Saccharomyces cerevisiae S288C: one gene and its partners. Changing the gene in region 1 together with any one later gene gives a genetic interaction. Each region holds a gene or a part of one and is shown on either strand. Other genes may lie near its edges.

Region 1 (2,968 bases):
TTGAAGGGAGATTTGAAGACATTGACAATAAGCAACAACTTCTTCTCCATGAGATGCAAGAGTTAAATTCCTTATCATCTAGGTTGAAATATGATATGAGGATATTGGAAGTTCGTGTACGAGATATTGAAAGTAGTGTTGCTCAGTTTGATTCCAAATTAATTGGGTTGAAAAGCTCTCTTCAGGGACAGGGTAAAACTGGAATATGCTCTGCAATAGATCCCAAGAGTGATAAAGACGAATATGATAGATGCGTAAATGATTTGATGACCACTAACAACCCCACCTATGAAGCTCTTTGTTTAAAGATGCTGAGCCGCCGTTATTTTAAAGATTTAAAGAATGATACTGTGGGGTGGTTCAGGTGGTTATTTGGTAATAATTCTTTACACAATAATGCCAGTGAAGACGATAGAGGAATACGAGTATGATTTTTTTCGGTTCATCCTAATTTTTTTTTTTTTTCAAAAGGGATCTAAACATTTATCCGTTGTTATAAGTATATTAAAATATATAAATGCATTCAAAGGTTTGCTATTTCACGTCTGCTTACACTTTTGTTCGATCCATCGTAGGCTATTTCAGTACCTGGTACGTGTCTTGCAGGTATTCCAACTGTTTTTTAAAGCGGCTGTAATCTCTGGAATCTTTAGATATACGATCCCAATCCACTTCCTTCAAAAGTTTTTCAAACTGTTTGATAATTGAATGCAATTTTTTTTTTGTTTCTTCATTTTCTGTCTTCAATGACTCGTAATTTTGTTGAAGACTTTTGTTCCTTTCATCAAGCTTCTCTGATGAAAATGTGGCAATATTTCGTTCTCTTATTGCATTCTGTTCGTCGATAAAATTTTTAATATATGAGAAATGCTCATTTATGTTGTTAATTAGCGCAACAGCCTTTGTATTGAAGTACTCTTGTTTTTCAATCTCGTATATGAGTTTAAAATTTTCGCTGATAAGCTTCTGTGCCTCAGTGGGGGGAGATGCTTTTTGAGATGCATTATCTTTCCATGAATCTGGAATTATGTTTTTGCTCAAATTATCATAAGATATTCCTGACTGTTTGGCAAGGCGCTTTAACAATAGTTCTATTCGATCGGTCTCTTGTCTGTTAGCCCGACACTCTGCACTTAAAGCTTTTGTTAATTGAAGAAGATAATCGAAACTATCACTACCACCGCTATTCATATTTGCAAATCACTATATATACTGCTCTGTGCGAACTTATGATGGAAAAAACGAGCAAGAAGTAATAAATCACGGTTTAACTTTCTTCATTAATCGCCGAATGCTAGCCGGAGCTTTGAATGAACCTTTTATTGTGGTTATATTGTTATACAGGTGTCAATATAAACAATAAAAGTTGAAGCGGTGGCTCAATGGTAGAGCTTTCGACTCCAATTAAATCTTGGAAATTCCACGGAATAAGATTGCAATCGAAGGGTTGCAGGTTCAATTCCTGTCCGTTTCAATTTATTTTTTAGCCCTGTGCTTGAGATTATCGTCGACAATGACCAGCTATAAGCTGGCAAGATTGATGCTCTAAAACGCGGGGAATAAAATAATCAAGATGATTAATTGTTGGGATTCCATTGTTGTTAGAGCCTACAATATTAGGTACACAGAATATACTAGAACTTCTTCTCGAGGATGTAGGAATCGTCAAAAGGGAATCGATAGTTTTACGTAACGATATTACTTTATGTTCTTTCTGTTGGAATGAAGCTATAAAATATCATCTGTTCAGTAGTATTCATGCCACTCGTACATTATCATATACAGTGTAAGAAGATGATCTAAACATTGAGAAACAGTCGTAAAATTTAATGGAAGCAGAAATATAAGGATTGATAATGTACTAGGATAATGAAACATACGAAAGGGAGGGAGAAATAATTGTAATTGTATTATATAGGAGTATCGATTCCAATTTGAGGATTGGTATATCTCTCAGGGGAAATTTTATTATATTCTGTACACATAATAAAATAAAGCCCTTGCGAACAATAGAATCCCAACGGTTATCAAATTATTCACAAATTGATCACTTCCTTTTTATACTTTCCCTCTCGCTTCTTATTACATTATCAATCATTGCATTTCAGCTTCCCCTAAATCTGGTGACTGTTTCTCAATCTTTAGATCACCTTCTGTTGGAATAAAAATCCACTATCGTCTATCAACTAATAGTTATATTATCAATATATTATCATATACGGTGTTAAGATGATGACATAAGTTATGAGAAGCTGTCATCGATGTTAGAGGAAGCTGAAACGCAAGGATTGATAATGTAATAGGATCAATGAATATAAACATATAAAACGGAATGAGGAATAATCGTAATATTAGTATGTAGAAATATAGATTCCATTTTGAGGATTCCTATATCCTCGAGGAGAACTTCTAGTATATTCTGTATACCTAATATTATAGCCTTTATCAACAATGGAATCCCAACAATTATCTAATTACCCACATATATCTCATGGTAGCGCCTGTGCTTCGGTTACTTCTAAGGAAGTCCACACAAATCAAGATCCGTTAGACGTTTCAGCTTCCAAAATTCAAGAATATGATAAGGCTTCCACTAAGGCTAACTCTCAACAGACAACAACACCTGCTTCATCAGCTGTTCCAGAGAACCCCCATCATGCCTCTCCTCAACCTGCTTCAGTACCACCTCCACAGAATGGGCCGTACCCACAGCAGTGCATGATGACCCAAAACCAAGCCAATCCATCTGGTTGGTCATTTTACGGACACCCATCTATGATTCCGTATACACCTTATCAAATGTCGCCTATGTACTTTCCACCTGGGCCACAATCACAGTTTCCGCAGTATCCATCATCAGTTGGAACGCCTCTGAGCACTCCATCACCTGAGTCAGGTAATACATTTACTGATTCATCCTCAGCGGACTCTGATATGACATCCACTAAAAAATATGTCAGACCACCAC
Region 2 (3,497 bases), on another chromosome or scaffold:
GTTGCGCAACCTGTTGCCTTGCCTGAGCCTGCTGATTCAAGAACATCTGTGGGTTTAGATTCATATTGACATTCATATTATTGGCGCTGTTGCCAGAATTTTTCAAGTTGTTAATATGGTGCTGTTCCACGGGTTTAATGTTGTTATTAGCGGCAGCAGCAGTAACGGCGTTTTTCCTCGTATTGTACGTGTTGCGCATGACAGCAACTTTTTCGTTCATGCTGTCCATGTATTCTTTCTTTGAAGAGCTCTTTGCGAACAAAGCTGCCTCGAAGTTTTTGGCATGAATTCTTATCTTATCAGCAGTGTCGGAGCTCCCTCCGTTCAGAGTGTTAATGTCCATGAGCACCTGAAGCAACCCGTTGACGTTCTTCGCACGCTCGGCATTGGACAGAGTGTCTTTGTCTTGGACAGGAGCAGCAGACATAGCAGATTTAAAAGAAATAGCGTTTTAATCCTTGATCTTTGAGTACGGCACTATACGAAACGATACGCTTATAAAAATGGGGTTTAACTAACAAAGAAAAATATACCAGCACAAGTATATAGCAATGTCGTGGAAGTACTTCTTTGTGGAACCAGCTGTTTCCAGAGACAAATTCCTAGTCCTTGTGAATGGTTGACTATTAAAAGTTTGACTGTAAAGGTTAAGCACCTTCATCATCCTCATCCATAATATAATTTTCTGATCGACGCAACCGGGGCCGGGGTGGAAGGAAGGCCCGATTCGAAATAAAAAAGAGGCCGCCACAATGTAGGGTAATGCCTAATTATATTAACTAGAGACTGACTGAATCATATTACTTAGTTACTACTACTCTTATCATGCAAGAAGATGTGAAAAAGCGTCTTCCCCCAAATCATATAACTTCTGCACCATCCGTGGACTGTACAGGTTCAGCGGGGGAATATGTAATTGCTTGTTAGGATTGCTCTTGGGACCGTAGTATCGCGACAAGGAAGTCTGTGTAGTTCCACTTGATGTGGGCTGCCTCGCCGCTTCTTTTGCAGTCCCTAACCTTATATAGATGCGCACGCGCCAAAGCATGAGGGTACTCCATCATGTCTGTTGCACAAATATCGTAGGTTACTTGACGCTAACGTCATGTTTGATGCTCCGTTAACGAAGAGAATCGGAGCTCTTCATCTTAATCAGGCTCTTTTATAGCTCAATCATCAGTGGAAAAAATTCTTCGAACTAGAAAAAAATCAAGAAGTGAAAAAACTAAAACCGCCAACTGGCTACCCGGATAAGCCCCATAATGGCGTTCCTAGGGCTAGAAGAATTTCAAATCGATGACAGCTGATAGAAAGCGCCAGAGATATGTAGCCTTCCATCAGTAGTAATATCCAATAAATTGGGCACCATGGTTTGGCAATCAGGCTTTTTACCCTCGCCCTCTTTTCCTTCGCCTTTTACCTCTTCTGCATCCAATTTCAGCGTACGTACACAATGATTGACTTTGGAAATTTTCACTTTTTTCCACTCGAAGAAAAAAAATTCCAAACACGGTTCTCCGGTATTTAGGCATCGAATAAACTTTGCTAATCGACTAAAAGCATCTCTGCATATCTATACGTGTATATATTGTATTCGCTACAGCTCGCTCCTTGCATCAACTCTTTTTTTCTTTTTTTTCTTCCAGGTTAATCAATTACTGTACTGTAGCTTCTTTTTTATATTTTTTAGGTTTTCATATAGTGTCTTACGCAAATAGGCGGACCATAGAATGACTGTCACCATAAAAGAATTGACTAACCACAACTACATTGACCACGAACTATCAGCCACTTTAGACTCAACGGATGCGTTCGAGGGTCCCGAGAAGTTGCTGGAAATCTGGTTCTTCCCTCACAAGAAGTCCATCACGACCGAAAAGACATTAAGAAATATTGGCATGGATAGATGGATCGAGATTTTGAAATTAGTGAAATGCGAAGTTCTTTCCATGAAGAAGACTAAAGAACTGGATGCCTTTTTGTTGAGTGAGTCTTCCCTCTTCGTCTTCGATCACAAATTGACGATGAAGACGTGCGGTACTACAACCACATTGTTCTGTCTCGAAAAGCTTTTCCAGATCGTTGAGCAAGAGTTATCGTGGGCTTTCCGCACAACACAAGGGGGCAAGTACAAACCATTTAAAGTGTTTTATTCTAGACGATGTTTCCTTTTCCCCTGTAAGCAAGCCGCTATCCATCAAAACTGGGCTGACGAAGTCGACTATTTGAACAAATTTTTCGACAATGGTAAAAGTTATTCCGTGGGAAGAAATGACAAGAGCAACCACTGGAACCTGTACGTCACCGAGACGGACCGCTCCACACCTAAGGGAAAGGAGTACATCGAGGATGACGACGAAACTTTCGAAGTACTGATGACGGAGCTGGACCCAGAATGCGCTAGTAAGTTTGTTTGCGGGCCTGAGGCATCCACAACCGCTCTCGTGGAGCCAAACGAAGATAAGGGCCACAACCTCGGCTACCAAATGACTAAAAATACAAGGCTTGACGAAATATATGTCAACTCGGCCCAAGACTCCGATTTATCATTTCACCACGATGCATTTGCGTTCACGCCATGTGGATACTCATCCAATATGATTCTCGCTGAAAAATACTATTACACCCTGCACGTGACTCCGGAAAAGGGTTGGTCTTACGCCTCTTTCGAAAGTAACATACCCGTATTTGACATTTCCCAAGGGAAGCAAGACAACTTGGACGTTCTTCTACATATTCTGAACGTTTTTCAACCAAGAGAGTTCTCGATGACCTTTTTTACCAAAAATTATCAGAACCAATCCTTCCAAAAACTACTAAGCATCAACGAGTCACTGCCCGACTACATCAAGTTAGACAAAATTGTTTATGATCTGGACGACTACCACCTTTTCTATATGAAATTGCAGAAGAAAATATGAAAAGCCGCCATTTGTGTCTCCTCATACTTACATAGAATAGCCCTCTTCTATTATCCTTCGCTTGCTTTCTAGCACTCATAACTAATGTAGTTTAACCCGCTTGTATATCTTCTACATCATTACCCCGCATGCTTTTTTTTTTCCTCTAGAGAAAACCGGCACAGATTGGCCGGACCCGGAACAGGAAAAATGGCCACTGAAAATTCCTGGCCAGACCACCCCTGAGCTAAGGGAGTTTAGCCGCTCAAGCTTTTATTTCCTCTGATGTAATATATCACACACCCAGACACGGTTGCCAAGGCCTCGACGGAAGGCCGCTTCAAGGGACGGGGCAGTGGCTATCAGAAATACCTTAATATCATCAATATTTTTCATCAATCGCAAGGTGTCAAACATCAATAAAGGATGATGCTCAAAGGTTTATGCCCGATGTTCTTCTAATCCCCTTTCTCTCCTAAAATAATCCTTTTTTTACTCTTCTTCTTTTCCCCTGTTTCCATTTTTGTCTTTTCTCACCCCTTATGGGACATCAATAATGCAAGTATGTTTATACATTTTTATATAAATGTATATATA
Region 3 (3,291 bases), on another chromosome or scaffold:
TTTTCTCTTTTACCAGGAAATATTGGAGCATTTTAGTCCCATTATGGATCATTTCTTTACGTGAATACATGATGATAAAGTATAACGATAATGATTCTACTGTGCAAGTAAAGAATGACTCGAAAGAAAATAGTCTCATTGAACCAAGAAGTACGAAAATTGAGTTATATGAACCGGTCTGGTTAAATTTCGTAGAGGCCCTTGGGTGCACTCTGGATTCAGACGTTCAAGTCATTTTGGCATCTCTTAACGATGAGGAATTAGAGTATTTTCTTTTTATTTTATTTAGCCAATGTTTGGAGGCTATCGTCAAAAATATTGATGATCATTCAGTCAAGATGCAAGTTTTACCGGCTTTACACAATGTTTTGAAGAGCAATCTGTGCATAAAAAGTATATTTGAGGATGATATTATTACTGAAGTTGTTGAGATTATGGACAGACTGATTTCTACAGGCGACAGTAAAGAAGAATTTTTGCTTGTTGATATCATCAGTGACTTGATCATTGGGTATTCGAAGTGTAATGCTACTCCTGAAACATTTCTACAAGATATTGACAAACTATATGAGCTACTGCGACTACTGATGACAATTATTTCTGAGAGGTTGCCATTTATTAAGTATAACGTGCTTACCAGCGAAGAAGATGATAATGAAATAAAAATCTCTCCCACAGATATTAGTCTGTTGAAAAAAACATTTATTGCGTTCGAATCAAATATCAGTAACTTCGACAATATGTTCAAAGTAGATCTTTATTCATGTCTTTTATTCATCATAGGGAAAATTTATGAATGTAGTCATCGTGAAGTAATAATTCCAATCATACTCCCACTTTTCAAGGCACTAGTAAAAGCGCTTACGGAATCTGAGGACGAAAAAAATATTGTGTTACTAGAAATATTCTACGGGTCAATAAAAGATGTTATTTATCATAAGCTGGATTCAAAGAATAAAGTTGCAACCATTTTGATCTTGCTGTCTAATGGATACTCTAAGCTAAGTTTTCAGGAACTGAATCAGTGCGCAAATATTCTCTCGGAGGCATTGAATAATCCTGCTACGCAGCCAATTGCTCTACAAGGCTTCAAGAGAATAATATCTAATATTTTCAAATACCCGTTGTTGCAGTATTTTATGAAGTTGGTTATAAAAAGATTCTTTCAAGATATTCAAACAAACGATTCCTTATCGCAGGCAAGCATTAAAACTAAGTTGATAATTCAGTTTTCCGAGGAAGTAATCAAACAAGATCACCAAAAGGCATCATTGTCAATTGCTTTATGTCTTTCTTTCTTTGCCGCATATCATAGCGCATATACAGAGAAAATAGACAACGAAGTAGCAAGTGGCATAGTTGCTTTGGCTAAATTGGACAAAAATTCATTTAAAGAAGCCATTTCTAGCACTATAAGTCCTCAACAAAAAGCAATTATAGGTTCCGTGATGGAGGCATACGTTAAATCGCAGTCTTTGGGCTCTGTCGAAGAGGCCTTTCAACTGAAATCTTTCGACTAATTGCAAGTCGGATGCATATGCACGGAAATAAAACTCATCGCGAAAAAAGAAAAAAAAAATAAAATCTGTGAAAAAATATCAATGGTGCAATTGGTTATTGGTCACTCATCAAGTAATTTGTTAGTTTTTATAGAGTTACAATTGTATAAAGATAAGAACATTTAGTTAAGTTCCCCACTTATTAGATCCCAAAGTTAAAGTTATCATGTGCAGTAGGATACTCTTGTCCGGTTTAGTCGGACTGGGTGCTGGTACTGGCTTAACCTATCTTCTTTTGAACAAACATTCTCCAACGCAAATCATTGAGACACCTTATCCACCTACCCAGAAACCTAATAGTAATATTCAATCTCACTCTTTCAACGTCGATCCTTCCGGGTTCTTCAAGTATGGTTTTCCTGGTCCGATTCATGATCTGCAGAACCGCGAAGAGTTTATCTCATGTTACAACAGACAAACTCAAAATCCTTATTGGGTCCTCGAACATATAACGCCAGAATCATTGGCTGCAAGGAATGCTGACAGAAAAAATTCCTTTTTCAAGGAAGATGAAGTAATTCCAGAAAAGTTTAGAGGTAAACTAAGAGACTATTTTAGGTCGGGCTATGATCGAGGCCATCAAGCCCCAGCTGCAGACGCAAAATTTTCTCAACAGGCCATGGATGATACATTCTACTTATCCAATATGTGTCCTCAAGTAGGAGAAGGTTTTAATAGAGACTATTGGGCGCATTTGGAGTACTTTTGTAGGGGATTGACTAAGAAATATAAGAGTGTAAGAATCGTGACTGGTCCATTGTATCTACCCAAAAAGGATCCCATAGATAATAAATTTAGGGTTAATTATGAAGTTATTGGCAATCCACCCAGTATTGCTGTTCCAACGCACTTTTTTAAATTGATTGTTGCAGAAGCACCAACAGCCAATCCTGCTAGAGAGGATATTGCTGTCGCGGCATTTGTATTGCCAAACGAACCGATATCAAATGAGACGAAATTGACTGACTTTGAAGTTCCTATAGATGCTTTAGAGAGAAGTACTGGGCTAGAACTTCTGCAAAAAGTACCACCTTCAAAGAAGAAGGCATTATGCAAAGAGGTAAATTGTCAAATTGTAGTGAGAGATTTCTCTAACGCGGCGATCAAACAATCGAAAGATGTGAAATTGTTACCTCCTCCAAAAAAAAGGAATTGAATGTACTGAAAAACTGTAAATATAAATTAATTCATAACACAACGATAGAATAGCATGAAAGAATATAACAAGTCTAACGCATATAACATAAAATAATACATTTATTTGATGATCAAAAAAAGAAAAGAATTAGGATGCAATGCTTGGATTTAGTATATATTTACAGAAATTTGTTTTGTTATTATTTGCTTTGTTATTTATATCGTAAATGTGCGTTTGGCCGTTCATCTTAAGTAACGTTTGACAGCCGACACACCATGCTTTTTAATATCTTGTATGATCTCCTTGTTTGTTTTGAACTCTGAATTTCTAATTTGATGTTTTAAGATGAAATTCCAGTCTAACTTCAATTCCTCAATCGTCATACCGTTCTGGTATAGTTCTGCGCACGCCCAAAGAAAAATGTCTGTTCTTCCTATCTGCAGTGCGCTTAATGCAATATTCCTTAAAATAGTAAACCTGTTTTGATTATTCACTTTTAATTTGACATCACATGGGGAGGATGCAATGAATGGGTTACAGTTCGATTTTGTCCAGTATGTTTTACTTCTCTTTGCAGCATTTATATAAAGTAGT

Evidence for each region. A genetic interaction does not mean that the proteins touch.
Region 2: mutations in FAR3 (region 1) and SPE2 together harm fitness more than expected from each alone (negative genetic interaction), as found in Saccharomyces cerevisiae (2 studies listed by BioGRID).
Region 3: mutations in FAR3 (region 1) and NUC1 together harm fitness more than expected from each alone (negative genetic interaction), as found in Saccharomyces cerevisiae (2 studies listed by BioGRID).

The regions. Positions count from the first base shown.
Region 1 is NC_001145.3:377,809-380,776, reverse strand, and holds FAR3 (Far3p), read right to left. Parts: upstream 1,192-2,968; coding exon 577-1,191; downstream 1-576. Other genes in the region: STB2 (Stb2p), read left to right, coding at 1-431; YMR051C (gag protein), read left to right, coding at 2,452-2,968. UniProt on the Saccharomyces cerevisiae protein: Participates in the control of the reentry into the cell cycle following pheromone treatment.
Region 2 is NC_001147.6:231,870-235,366, reverse strand, and holds SPE2 (adenosylmethionine decarboxylase SPE2), read left to right. Parts: upstream 1-1,730; coding exon 1,731-2,921; downstream 2,922-3,497. Other genes in the region: GAL11 (Gal11p), read right to left, coding at 1-427.
Region 3 is NC_001142.9:39,618-42,908, reverse strand, and holds NUC1 (ribonuclease), read left to right. Parts: upstream 1-1,725; coding exon 1,726-2,715; downstream 2,716-3,291. Other genes in the region: AP-1 complex accessory protein LAA1, read left to right, coding at 1-1,520; CBP1 (Cbp1p), read right to left, coding at 2,940-3,291. UniProt on the Saccharomyces cerevisiae protein: This enzyme has both RNase and DNase activity.